Linked DNA regions of Mytilus edulis. The protein of the gene in region 2 binds, or shares a complex with, the protein of the main gene of each other region. Links are inferred from orthologs where the notes say so. Each region holds a gene or a part of one and is shown on either strand. Other genes may lie near its edges.

Region 1 (7,640 bases), about 7.2 Mb from region 2:
CTGTTTCACATTTTTCCTGCCAGGGCCTGTAATAGCTTTAACACTATGATCATTGTTGATGGCCAAAAGGTAACCTATAGTTGTTTACTCCTCTTTCTTTGATCTCTTGCATTTTATTTGTGGATAAAAGTTTCATTGTTTAACAAAATTGTTATTCAAATTTTATTTTCTTTAACAGTTGTGTTCTTTTAACATATACGTGTCTGTTTCATGGTTTCTTTGCTGATTTCAGCATCTTCGGTACATTGAGTTCTTTGTACAATATTTTCTTAACATTTGTTTATTAAATTGCTTCTGAAAACAAATTCTATTTATGCTTTATTTTTCATGAAAAATCTAATTTACATCAATTGATTAAATTTTAGCATTATTAGCATTACCAAACAAAAGTAAATTTAAGTTCTAGATCAATTCTTTCATGGAGAAATAAAAGTATTACTGGGGTATAACAGTTCATCTATGGTAGTACATTTTTCAGGTGCAAATTAAATTTAAATAGTGATCATTAAAGATTTGTAACAGTAAAAAAATCAGTATACGATTTAGGATTCACTTCCAGTTTTATATATTCAAGTAACCTTAATTTGCAACAATGGTAATCACACAGATAATTTTAGTACTCACTCTAAAAATGGTTTTCCCTGATGCTCTTGATAAAATTGGAAAGCTTCATTTCTATTCAGCTGACACATCTTTAACTGTGTAATCATAAATCCTTTTTGATATATCACATCTAATATTTGACCCATTTTGGCTGTGGAATCGGGTTTTATGATACCCAAAGTTCTACAAATAGAAAGTAACACAAACTCTCATGAAAGTAAACTGCATGTATACAGATCTTTATTTTATTTCAAAATCAGCACAACAAAACTTCAATGTTGGGATTTTGTTGTTTGAAAAATTGTAATGTCGCACAATCCTTCATTATCCAATACAGCACAGATCTTATTTTTTTTTATTTCATGTATATCCTGAAATTCACATTAGTTAAAAATTTGAATATGAAAAGTAGTATTGAAATATGCAAAGAAAACTATGATTATTAATGACAATTTGACTATTAATAACTGTATTCCTGTTAAATATAGTATAAGTAACTGCTTTATATACTAATTTTATTTCTACAAACCTTTCTTTTTTATGAGAAAATCTGGTCCTAGTGTAATCATCTCCATAATCTACAAATTTCAGCTGTCTAGACAAGATGTTTACTGTACTACCAATATATAAATCTTCTAGCCGTAAACAGTCACTAACTTTTGTCTTCTTCAGAAATACTCTGTGATTTTTAATGTCAAACTGAAAGATATAACATCATATATATATATATGTATTGCAAATGGATATAAAACTTTGTCATAACATATCAAATGTATTATTCAAGTTATTAGGTGTAACATTTAAATTTATCATATTATACATTTGTAAGTGTGAGAATTTTTTTACAGGATAAACACTAAAGATTTGTGTTGAATTATAAATGTTGATGTCCCCAATGAATAATTTATAAGAATGTAATAGCTAATGGGCATAATTGATATTACCCTCTAACTACCAGCTGGTCTACTTTGAATTTTATTTCTATCTTGTGAAAATTAAGATTTTAAACACTAGAAATGATGAATTGAATTTAACATATTCTTTTTTGTAATCTTAAAAAAAATCATTGAATTTAAGAAACAACTTTTCATTTTAAATTTTATTATTTCCAGCTATCAAACTGGTAAAACATTTAATGTAATGGACCTTTTATGGTATTACCATTTCTGCTGTTTGATCTTTGACATAATACATAAACTGATATCTGCGTATGAAGGCTGCATGTGGGTCATACCATTCAGCAATGAAACAATAACGGTCTTCTTCCTAAATAAACAATATAATATACATGATATAAAGGTTAATAAATTATGGGATGCTAAATTGACTATATCCAGGTTTTGATTATACCAGGTGCTAAGTTAACGTGACTAGATTTCATATTGTCTTGTTACCAAAATGTCATTTGGTTCTGAATTATGTTCAGAATTTGAAGGGTCTGATTTTAGATTTAACTGGTGAATGCAACCAACTTTCCGCTCCCAACTTTCGGCTGGAAAATTGGATTGTTCTGTCTGTATATGTATGTTACACAGTGCAGGATCCGATCACGGATATATGCGCATTGGAAGGAGAGCTGGTTGGTTAGTCCAACTCTAGGAGGGCAGGCCTGAAACCCTCAACTGACTTTGGGCATTCAATATCCTTGTCCAGATGGTTCCACTGGACTATTGATTTGGGAAAAAAAGGGTTCTTTCGGATGTCTGTTTTGTAGTCAATCAATTTGTATGATCTGCTATTTCTAGTTTCTTGTCTCTCTACGATGTTTGTGTATTTTTATTGAAAGTCACAGTCATGATTGTTGTGGGTGTACAAGTCAAATCGGCACCCATAGAAAAAGTCAAATCGACACCTGGTTAAATCGGTTAAAACATCTTTTTGCTTAAAATACTGAAAAAAAACATATATTAAACATATCTAATACGGGTGCCAAAATTACAATATCAGGTGCCGATTTAACCAGGTGCCAAATTGACTAGGTGCCAATTTGACCAGATGCTGATTTAACCAGGTGCCGATTTGACTAGAATTCGATGTGGGATGTGAGCACATGAAGAGTCATTTTACATGTGACGAGTCATTTTACGTGGGGCGACAAGATGATCAAGAGTTTATCAGATAGCACCTGTCTATATTTAAATACAGTACACACCAAAGCAAATCAAGCAAACTATATTTGCTTTCAGAGCTCCTGCATTTGCCTGGTCCTGTTCAAACATGATTAAACTAATAAAATTATTATCTAATCATTTGATTTCTTTCGATGATTTCGTTTTAAAATTTTCTCTTACCCCCATGTTGACACTGGTACGTATATATGCTATGGTAGGAGGTGTTGATCCTTAATAATATTTGAAAATGTGTTGCAGTCCGTACAAGTTGTTGTTGGCAACAAACTTTAAAACCTGATTTGTTAAGAGTTTTCTGATTGGATACCGTGAACACTTCCTTTGAATGAAACCGGAAGTTGTAATGTTTTGGGTGGCAGAAAAAAATATTGTTTACTGTTTTTCAACCTGAAAAGAAGGTACTTAGACAAACTATGTAGGGTATGCTGTTTAAAAACAGAAAATTGAATATTCAGTGCAAACAAAAAGAGAAATAAGCCAAATCCTAAGCGCCTGTGATGCATGACAATGTTACAGTTTCCGGTCGTTCCGACCACAAACCAAGTCGCTAGGCCCAAAATTCAATAGTCAAAGTCGATACGGCCAATCCCCATGGAAGAAATATTGAAAGGAATAACTACAACACAATTTCAAATGTTTCATCTGCGTAATTACCGCCAATAAGAATACTCGTTAATCAGTTTACTATATGGGGAATGGCAGTTGATCCTCGCAAGTGATAGATTACAGTGGTCTCGCTAGCCCAAAATAGAAGGGCGCCGAGCCCTGGATGCCCTCTAGCCGCGCCCTGGGTGCCTTCATCCGCGCCCTTCTGCCCTGACGTCTTTTTCCAAAATTCTCTTGTGCCGTTTTGGTAAAATTGCCTTTTGTTTCATCGATTTCTGATCTCCAAGTTAATTACATATATGACACCTGTGTGATTGCCCCCAGGTTAATCATGTCATTACAATCAATTACAATGATAAAGACTTCAAAGGTGTTAATATCTAGGTAATTTAATTAGGACAATGTATCTTTTTGTCATACATTTGATGAATGTGTCAGGAGTGTGTTTAGCTTGGGTCTGCATTTTCGATTTCCAAGTCACAATGGAAGAGTGTATAAATGAAGACTTTCATGACTTTAGAATTGAATTTAAGTCATCAAAATAAAACTATGCCTTCACAGAAATGCATTCCATCTCAACTTGTTAGCGACAAGCACAGTTTTTAATTGACGCAAACCTGTTGGAAATTAATTTTGGAGTTACTTCCCCTGTTTTAGCTTATTACAAATTTGTGCTCTAAAAATATTATCTAGTATCAAAAAAAGGAATAAAGAACCAATTGAATATATAATAACATAATAATGTTACCTTAAGGATATTAACTGTCTTTGAACATATTAAAAAAAATATATTGCAATTTCTGTTTGATAATTATACTTTTAGCAATCCATGTTCTAAACATTGATAAATTAGTAATACACAAAAACATAAAAGATCTTTTGTATAAAAAGCTAAAATTTTTATACAGATAAAAAAAAATATTCTTTGACAGTGGGTAGAGTGAAAAACTATAAAAACATAATATGTTGATGAAGATGTACTATATTATTCATAACTACACAAACAATGAAATAAAGACTATAGTTAAAATGCATTTTTATTTAAAAAAAACAACAAATACAGTAAAAAAAAAGAGATTGGTTAACTCGTGATACACACAGAAACGTAGACAAAAAAATTAGCAGTGCCTTTTCTTATCATAAAAAGTGCCCTGCCCTCCACTGGCACCCTGCCCCTTTTGATTTCTAGCTAGAGCACTGGATTAAATCACTGACACTTTTCGGTCATTTTCGTGTTCACAGAAAATTACAAACAGACAAGTTGTTATCGTTCATATGTGCATAGTTACCCGAAAAGTCCTGGCACTCGTAACATTCTGCTGATGTGCGCTGCCAAATAGAGTAATTCATTCAATAACAACGGTACCTCGAATGACTGAATAACACTTGTAATGACCGAATAACACTTGAAATTTTAATAATATGAGGCAGGCATTACCTGTAAATGGGGACGAAGTCTGTATGAATTATTTTTTTGTAACTAATAATTTGTTAAAAAAAAAGAAACGTAAATACCGTAACGTTTCCGATTTTGGTTCTGTTGTTAGGGATTTTAGTTGTGACGTTATTTAAATTATGACGTCATATGCAATGTAAACAAAGAAACGCTATCATCAGGTAACGTTTTTTCATATCAAGGAATTATTAAAAATGAAATTGGTATTGCGCGTTCCTTCCTATTTTATACTAGACTGATAAATATATATTTTACTCAAAGTTTCATACAAACGAGACCGGAAAAAGGAAGTACATTGTACATTTCTGCGCAGGTCCCGGATTTCAAAACACGACAAAAAAAATTTGAACGATTTTGAGTTCATTAGTACAATGAAAAATTCGGGAAATTTTCCAGAATTTTTTTTTTATTGAATTTTCTACTGTTATTGGGGACTTCGTCCCCATATTAACACATATTGGTGACTTTTAAACATTGATTATTAAATAATAGTATATTATCGATGTATTTTATAACTCATCAATGATTTACAGAAGACAGATAAGTTCATAAAAACTTTAAATTCAGTGTGTACATCCAATATGGTGACCACGGAAATCACAATGGCCGCCATGTTCGATGTACACACTAAATTTAAAATGATTTTTATGAACTTATCTGTGTTAATAATTCTTATATGATCTGCATATTAGGGAATACGTTGATACTGAGACTACTTTAATATGTGTTATAGTAGTCTCAGGTTGATATGATTAGTCGAGAGGACTTCCGGTAGTTAATCTTGACATTGATTATTTTTCGATAGACAAAGTTGACCAAACTTCTTTTCTTAACCAATGTAAACAAGATGGTACACAGATGTTGACAAATTTATTTTCACTGCACGTTAATATCATTAAATGAAATAATACACAAAATCATTAGTTTGAATGATAATAAGAGTCTGTGCAGTTTACTTTTTATCAGATAGGAAATTTCATTGAGGACATATTTTTGCATTTACCAGCAAATATATTCATGCACCAGGCCTATTCAATGACATAAATATACAATTTACGTGTGGTAGAGGTAAAAAGTGTGGAAAAACATATCTCCAATTTTAAAGAATTGTAAGGATTAAACATTTTTTAAAGGAATTTATTGGTGCATAAACTTGAATTGGTCGAGTTTATACACCAATAAATTACTTTTAAAAGGTGTTAAATCCTATAATAGTTTAAACCAACAGCTAGCACATATAAAATTGGAGGACAAGGGTGGCTCGTTTTCAATTTTAACATTTACAGGTAGCACAATACAAAGATTTTCTGGTCTCTACATCGATATTACCTGGTTTAACTCGTGATCCGCTTTCAAAATTTATTTTACAATACAATACTATCATAATTTATAAACATCTCACCATCAATAATACATTTAGGAAACGGTCCTTGTGTGAGATTAGTGTACATGTTTAATTGCAAATTAACAGCAAAATTACAGTGATAAAAGCATGTTTAAAGTTTAAACTGTGGGCTTAATTTCTACAAAAAATAAAACTAACATAAATCAACATACCTGTTTCACAAAGATGATGCTGCCAGTTGTCAAATGTGTCACATTGTAGAACATCTTGATGAGACATAACCGTCTTCTTGCATACAAACGAACTATGATTGCAAATGAAGAAGATCACACATTTCATCGTAGTTTATACATTTTTTCCCAAAGCTTGGTTTTTACAATGTTTAAGCCATGCATTTTCTTTTCAGTGAGGATGGTGATTGTTCAAGTATAACTCAACAGATTTTGATGTTCAAAGTGCAGCATTAATACCAATTTTTGGTTTTCATATACTTCTTTATGTTTTTTTCTTCTTTAATCAAATCCATCCTCTTATTGTAGGTCTACCATCCACTAATGACCACAGATTAGTATATTGTGTGCTCATAATTATTTAATATGCATATCAAATAAATTGCTGTTTAAACAATTTAAAATAATAAAAAAATATAAGGACTAATGATTAAAGATTAGCATTTGATTTGTTTTGATATATTTGAAAGAATTATGATCGCATCAAATTAGCAATGAAAGTTTTTTATTCATATGTTGCTATATAGTATGATGCAATGTTTATGAAAGAAAGTTACAATACATTGTGAACTTCATGTATGTATATAGATGTAAATAATATCAAATAAATCATGGGTATGAGTTGGTTAAATAAGGGTACAAATAAACTCATCATAGATACCAGGACTAAATTTTGTATACATGTATACGACAGACTCGCGTTTCGTCTTCAAAAGACTCATCAGTGACGCTCGAATCCAAAAAAAGTAAAAAAAGGCCAAATAAAGTACGAAGTTGAAGAGCATTGAGGACCAAAATTCCTAAAAGTTTTGCCAAATCCAGCTAAGGTAATCTATGCCTGAGGTAGAAAAGCCTTAGTATTTCAAAAATTACAAGTTGCTGAAAGTACAAGTTGTCATGTACCCCAAAATATGACACCTGAATGTCGTTACATTGGAAACACATTAAAGAAAATATTACACTGTACTATCTTTGGTCATGTTGGTATTTTTTTTAAGTCAAAGATAAAGCAATGATTACATGAAGCTTGCATAAATTTTAAATGGACATATATGTGTCATTCAGGCACAGCTGTTGTGGACACACATGTCCATGCAGCAAAAAGAGAGCTCTAAGAAGCAATATTGCTGCATGTTTTACATACATGACATGTAAATGATGGTTGTTTCATTTATTTTGTATACATGTACATTTTTAGATTCAATAATATTTGAACAACACTAAAGTAAACTATCTTTTATAGTCAACATTTTTCACTGATTAGATCGGGT
Region 2 (8,019 bases):
CGAGATATAATCAAACTTTTGGTGGGTTATCAACACAAAAAAAACAACATATCAAATCAAACTTTCTCTTCTTCATTCAATTATAAGCCAAGGAACAATCATTTTATAAATTGGGTATTGTGACTTTCAAATCATATACTTTTAATCCCTTTTGAGACATTTGTGAGATATTCAATTAAATGAAGATATATATATTCATCATTCAACACCACTAATGATGATTTGAGTGCAGTAAATAAGTTGATATGAGTTTGCAATTATATGAATTTTAATACTGCAGTCCGAGTTTGCTTTCAGTGGTATGAGTTGACATTGGTGCGAAGTTTGCAATTATGGTACAGGATAACTATACTTAACTCATTTACTGATGCATGTTGATAAGTTAGCAGAACCACAGCAACAGCATATATATTAATTATCTCTTGGTAACACAACACACCTTATACTGTACGTAACATGTCATACACACACATACATGTACCAATTGCTCATCATATACATAAATTTGTAATTTCACAGGCACTTGTTTCTATCCAGGGGAAGGTTGACTATCCATATATCGCCCACGGAAGTTCTATAATATACTGATAGTCAATCTTCCCATGGCACCACCGAGGAAAATTTGGAATCCTTGCAAAACAACTGATTATATATGGTATTGCGAAACAGGACTAGGGATCGGATAAGCCACCTGATTCGTAACTAACTAGCAATATTGTCTATGGATTCAAAATCAAAACATATAAATCAAAATATTACACTGAAAAGTATCCCATGTTTGAGAGATACATGTACCGGCAATAACTTATCTGGTGGACTTTTTTTTAGTTTTTCAGTTTTTCATATTTTGTGAATTTTCAAACTGTTCCAACTTCTAATTGTTCATAAATATAAACAGTGTGATACTTACAAAGCAATCATTCATTCTTTCACGTAACACCCGCACCCATGTAAAAACTTTACTGTCCAAATTTCAAATACACCTCTAGCCTACTTTGGGCTTTCCACTTCTAAAGGTAAACAACATATTTTTGTTACGTCCTGTTTTGCTTTCACTTCGTGTACAATTAGGTAGAAATATCTAGAGAACTTCCGAACGAACAGAGACGTCTGCTTTAGGGACCGTTTCAAAACACCGAGTATGCAGTATCCATCCAGGAATTGCATATTTAAATATACAATTCCTTTAAATAATTATACTCAAAATTATTAATTGCAAAACCCGTAAGAGAACATCTTGGATAACAGTTAAAAACCATCCATCCAGTTTCCGTAGGCCTAACCATACCAGATATATCAGAAATGAGTACACACAAAAAAAAACACAAAAAAACCTACCAGATACCATTACATGACAGAGGAAAATAGGGAAAATGGAAGAATTAAAGCAACAAAACCATCCTCCCCTCATTATTAGATATGTCAAAGAATCATCTTAATAAGTTTGAAAGGAAAGTGAGTCATCAGACAAGATGTGAAATCTGATTCCAGAAAAAGGTCGCGAACGGTATTATAAAAACAAAATACCTTATAAAACAACAAAGAGTATATGTGGATAACTGCGGCTAAATACTGAATTGTAACAACTTATAAAAAAGGGGGGATACTATGTGGTTATAAAAAAGAAGTCGAACACATCTTTCTATATCTATATATAAGCATTTTATCATAAAAAAAAAATCGAACTAAAATGCCCAAAAGGAGAGAGCTAGTATACAACAACTATTTTTTTTCACAAATGACATATGAACAGCAATTACGAACAATAAAATTACCAATTTTAACTGAAATCGCATGTCATCGTTTCTCACTTTTTTTTGCGATATTTTCATTTAATTTGGAAAATGGGGTGACACGCGGAACATTGATATTTACAGTTAATCAGAAAATCAGAAAATAGAAAATAAAAAATAGCAAAATAAGCAAATAAATGAAAGGAAATATGATTGAGCTCTATCCTTACCGGTAAGTATTAAGAGACGTATCCAATTATTTTTAGAACTAGAGAAAATTCAACAACAAGAGACCACAAATATATATAACTTGTACAAGACACACTCAAGACTTCAAATCAGACAAATATTCATACACACAAAGAGCTATTGAAACCTGTAACAACATACCATCCTCAGTTACTCGCACTTTTTATCAGATTATTTGAATGGTGGTTAGATAAGTCCTGAGAAACCAACCACGAAAATAAGACTATATACCCATGCAATTATTATGTATCATAACACGACCGGATACCATCGTCAAGCTGTATTTTATTTTAGAACCAGTTAATAAGTTATTCTCAGAAATTATAAGTGATTCCCATCTTCGAGGACGTGACATTATATAATCAATATTAACATCAAGACCGGACACGACCTTAATGTGTACAAATTTCAGACCGTCGAGGAGCTACATAAAAAATAAATTTTATTGATAATTAAGAACAGCTAACAATACTTTGATATGAATTATAAACAAAAACAAATGAAAGACGTCGAAAGACAAACTAGTTCACAAAACACTACATAGAAAAGTAAAGAAACTGGAACAATGCAAATGAGAAAAGAAAAAAAAACTGCTTGATATATTTTATTTTCGTTTAATTTTTGCACGTTTCAGACCAGGTCCCTAATATGTATTGGCAGCACAAACAAAACAAAAACTGTCAAATATCGTTTTATACAGGCTTCTAGTAAGTATTGTTTCTGCTTTGAATAAAAATTATATACTTACTATTTACCACAAAAACTACACTACACATGCATGCACAGAAACGACTGTCATTGTCTTTTTCTTGATTTAAATTACAGTTTCACACGTGAAACCATATACTTTACTTTTTACAAGAGACCCCTTTTCGTTCCCTATTGTTGATATCTTTTTTTTTATTGGGATGTTCCTCTTGAACCTTCGTACAGTGTGTATTTCTTTTCTGTCGACACGTTTGCGAAGTACGTTTTTTTCAATGATAAGCATATATTCTAAGTTAAAGCATTTTTAAAACTCCTGAGAAACAGACAAACCAGAGTGTTGGAAGCATGTGTATATTTGGCCGGTTGTTGGTCTCTTTGACCTATTTCCCAAAACAATTCAATCTGAAAAAAAACCCGGGCCACGGTCGAATGGGGAAAAGGGGGGGGGGGGGCAATTCCTTTTTATGTTAACTTGGCCAGTTTTGGTCTTTTTATGCCCCACCTACGATAGTAGAGGGGCATTATGTTTTCTGGTCTGTGCGTCCGTTCGTCCGTCCGTCCGTTCGTCCGTCTGTCCCGCTCCAGGTTAAAGTTTTTGGTCAAGGTAGTTTTTGATGAAGTTGAAGTCCAATCGACTTCAAACTTAGTACACATGTTCCCTATGATATGATCTTTCTAATTTTAATGCCAAATTAGAGTTTTTACCCCAATTTCACGGTCCACTGAACATGGAAAATGATAGTGCGAGTGGGGCATTCGTGTACTGAGGACACATTCTTGTTCAAGGCTGTGTTGTAAACTGTTATCTGAGATAAATTTAAACTGTTAAGCGTTTTCAACCCACTGTGTTAACTGTTATCGGCACTTTTGCATTTGTTGTTAACTGTTTTTCTCAAAATCGAGGTGTTGTTACAGGGGCGGATCCAGCAACTATATGTCCCCATCAAATGCATTGATCGTCCAAAAAAAAGGGATTCCAACCACCGGACCCCTCCCCCTGGATCCGCGCCTAAGTTAACATGTTAATGGATCCCATATTGCCCCCTCTATCTAATCTATATAAAAAGCAAGAAACGAGAAACAGTAAGTACCACATCAACAAACGACTACCAATGAACAATATGTAGATTCCTGCAATCGGATTTAGGACAGATACAAACAAATTCAGCGGGTTTAAACGTTTTTAAAAGCGCGAAACCTCACCCAACCTACAAAAAGTATGTATGTATGTATGTATGTATGTATGTATGTATGTATGTATGTATGTATGTATGTATGTATGTATGTATGTATGTATGTATGTATGTATGTATGTATGTATGTATGTATGTATGTATGTATGTATGTATGTATGTATGTATGTATGTATGTATGTATGTATGTATGTATGTATGTATGTATGTATGTATGTATGTATGTATGTATGTATGTATGTATGTATGTATGTATGTATGTATGTATGTATGTATGTATGTATGTATGTATGTATGTATGTATGTATGTATGTATGTATGTATGTATGTATGTATGTATGTATGTATGTATGTATGTATGTATGTATGTATGTATGTATGTACTGAGATTCCGCCAATTAAGACGCACCCCTTGATTGACTGCAAGGGTACAGCGGATCCATGTACACTCCCTAAGGATTAATGGAGATGTGTCCTTTACAATATTATCCCACCAGAACAATCCCCACCCAACACCGCCCAAGGGAGCGTGTAGGACACCGGGAAGTCTGTTATTATGATGGAGGAAGCCGAAGTACTCGGAGAGAACCACCGGGCCGCTCGGTGGAAACAGACAAACCAGAGAGATATCAGAAGATTGATCTCCAGGTCAAAGTAGGGAACAACTTTGACCAACCGAGGCCCCCAAAGTACCCATTCTAGTTTAAACTCCGGTCTGGGTACCAGAGATGTGTGTGAGAGGGTGAAAATTACCCTTCTGATGTACTGATATTTTTAGCACCCCGAGTGAGAATCGAACTCGGGACCTTCAGCACTGTAGCCATCGGTCTTAAAACCACTAGACCACGAACTCACATATAGAAATGTTCCTTTATATGAATACGGTTCATTTTGTATTTTGAGACCACCCCTTCACAATTTTTTCGGATAGTTTCGTATCATTATTTTGCTCACAATTTTCTATGATTCGTTGCTCATTTAAAAAGATTATTTTAAACAAATTTGGTGAAATTAAAATTTTCCTTTTTCTTTCTTTTCATTCGAAAATACAAAATAACTTTACATTTCATGCGCATTGCCCGTAGCGCGGCAAAACAATCCTCTTGCAAATGGTCAATATCTGGCACTTTTTGTGCTATGGATAGGAGGGGCACAAATGAAACTGAGACATTATTGTTACAGAAACTTTGTTGTAAAATAACAGGCCTTCCTGAGGGTAAATAAACATGTTCAGTGTTATCTTCAAAAGGTCTGGCATCAAACATCCTCAGACATGCACCAAATATTTTGTTATTGCATGAATGTGTGTCCACATTTTTGTCGTTATTGAAACTGTATTGATATAAATATATCGATAATATAAGGCAGGTGTTTAATATTTGTGAAAGAGTATTAGTATTTGATCGTGATTTTTGCAACATTAAAAATGCATTCAAATGTATGTTGATCCCTCAATTAATAATGAATTTATCTGAACACCCTCTTTATAGATCTGCAAGGGTACAGACTACAGTTCGTAGGTCCTTGTGATAATCATACTCCATGCAACGAAGTTGTGAAGGGTATAATGTTTTTGACCAGTCTGTCTGTCAGTCACCGACTCGGTCTGTCAGTCCTGTTTCTTGTCATTGCAACTCCTCTAAAACCACACATCAGAAATTCAGAATTTCTTGAAACCTTTTTAGATAATACATGTCATACATTTGTAAGTGTAAAGCAAAATATTGTCCTATGAAATATTGTACAAGACAATATTTCATAACTATGTATCATGAAATATTGTCCTCGTCTATGGAAAAATGTCCAGAGAAGGACAAATTTGCATAGTGAAATCCAGTGTTCCAGCTAGGTTTTCAAAAGGGCAGGGTGCCAATCCTGAAAAAGGGCATTTAACGCGCGATATCATAATATGAAAAGGGCATATTTTAATAAAAGATGTTAATCAAACATTTGTGTTTATTCGTTGAATCACAGGTTATACAAGAACAACATCTTTAGCCCATATAGAACTCTATCTTTCTACTTTTAAGGCTGAAAAACTTGTCAAGCAGCTTGTCACACAAGTTTTTTTTATCATTGCTTGGCACAGTTGAACTTTATATGCAGTATGTTTTGAAAGGAGATCTGTTTCATACTGTTTCTATGGTCTACCACATTTGACCAGTTTCACCTTTCTACCCCTGCTGTGCTTGATGGCAATACAGCACAAAACAGCTGTGCTCAGTAAATTCACAATTTAAGGATATAAAGCAACAGTGAAAAATAGTATCAAAAATAAAGAATACAGAAAAAGATGACCAAGGCACCCTACCAACACTGCTGCTAAGACCCTCTTTAACTTTTCCCATAACTCAAAATAAATACCTAAACATATATATTCTTAAGCAAGAAGTATGGAGACACATTTTAGAATATGTAAATGGGTTACTCAATGCTAGGAAAAAAATCAGATTGAGTTATCTTTCTTTATTCGGGTGTGCTCCTTCTTTGGAGGATTATAAACAGTACGTAAATATGATGTAAATATGATCACAATATGGCGGCCGATTTTGATATTTTCGTATCAAAAATGAAGGCAGTCAATGACAAATACGTCTGAATTTTCTGTTTATTTTACAGAAAACAAGTAAAACAATGTCTTCAACGAGTTTATAATGGTTTTCCAACTTTCTGTCATTACGTTTCTTCCATGAAACTACGGTAAACATCGCAAATTGTGCCCAAGTTGTTGTATGCACATTTCTTCAAAGATAATTGCCGACTGACCGATTCTATTTGAACGAATTAATCTTGATGATCATTAATGACCCATCCGATAAACGGATTACCTATAACAACAGATTATGACACCAGTTGTAACCATTGATTAGCTTGGGGTGGTAAACAAAGTCATAATCTTTTCCCCAGGTAAAATTTAGTAATTAGCGTAGCCCATCATATCAATATCAATGTGTGAATTAATACAATATTTCATAGATAAATACTACGAAATTGTGTCCTGTTAATGGGAGGTTATATATATTTTGGTTATATTTTATGAGTATTGAGACAATATTTCATAGACAGATTGTCATTAAATTTTGTCTCATGAAAGGGAGGTTATCAACATATATTTATGTTAGAGAAGGTAAATAGGATTTTTTTCTGCGACACATACCTGTGTTTATATTTACAAAATAAGCGATTGTCAGTACATAACTTATATTTGTACAGTTTAATGTAATAAAATGAAACTTTTGTTAGACAATACTTTAATCTATAATTAACCATTTGTAATGTACATGTATCTATGCAAATTTGAAACTCACTATTAACAATCATATAAATTCTCTACTATACAAAACAATTTCGGTTATAAATCTAAAAATGTGCATGCTCAATGTGAACTATTTCTAATTGTGAAATAATTTGATTAAAAAATATTTTCAAAGCCAGTATTTCATAGTGAAGTATTGTCATGAACAGAATTTCATAGTGAAATATTGTCCCGAAGGAGGTGACAAAATGTCATGGATAAGGACACTATTTCATAATGAAATATTGTGTCCAAGACAATATTTCATTATGAAATACTGTCAGTGGACAATATTTTATATGAAAATTTGTCCGACAGACAATATATCATGGAGGACAATATTTTATGTTACATAAGGACATAATAAGTAGATGTGCATATTGACAGGAAATTATGATTCAATTTTTTGCTAGGAGTTACACCCCTTTGAACTTATTTGCTTCAATATACTACACCAGTTTGTCATCGCAACTCTTCTGAAACCACTCAACAGAATTTCATGAAATCTTTTTAGATAATAAGGACATACTATATAGATGTGCATATCGACAGGAAATTACGATTAATTGTTTTCTAGGAGTTATGCCCCTTTGAATTTATTTGCTTCAATATACTACTGCAACAGTTTGTCATCGCAACTCCTCTGAAACCATGCAACAGAATTTCATGAAACTTTGTAGATAATAAGGACATACTATGTAGAAGGTAGGTCTTTCCACCACTGAACACCCCAGGATTTTTTTCTCTTTATCTTGTATCATTATAAATGTTACCTAAATATTATTTTTAAGTTATTAATTCAACAAATATTAAAAATAAGAGTACAAATATCTACATCGAA

Evidence for each region. Proteins that work in one complex are often made in the same cells at the same time.
Region 1: gamma-tubulin complex component 3 homolog (region 2) and nucleoside diphosphate kinase homolog 7-like share a complex: the UniProt entries of both Homo sapiens proteins name them as parts of the gamma-tubulin ring complex. The link is inferred for Mytilus edulis from reciprocal best matches to the Homo sapiens genes TUBGCP3 and NME7.

The regions. Positions count from the first base shown.
Region 1 is NC_092346.1:81,916,362-81,924,001, reverse strand, and holds the start of nucleoside diphosphate kinase homolog 7-like, read right to left. Parts: upstream 3,019-7,640; 5' UTR 2,901-3,018; coding exon 2,895-2,900; intron 1,870-2,894; coding exon 1,765-1,869; intron 1,303-1,764; coding exon 1,133-1,302; intron 787-1,132; coding exon 625-786; intron 1-624. UniProt on the Homo sapiens protein: Possesses an intrinsic kinase activity. Displays 3'-5' exonuclease activity with a preference for single-stranded DNA. Does not seem to have nucleoside diphosphate kinase activity.
Region 2 is NC_092346.1:89,141,890-89,149,908, forward strand, and holds the start of gamma-tubulin complex component 3 homolog, read left to right. Parts: upstream 1-4,944; 5' UTR 4,945-4,951; coding exon 4,952-5,099; intron 5,100-8,019. Other genes in the region: phospholipid-transporting ATPase IF-like, read right to left, coding at 911-925. UniProt on the Homo sapiens protein: Component of the gamma-tubulin ring complex (gTuRC) which mediates microtubule nucleation.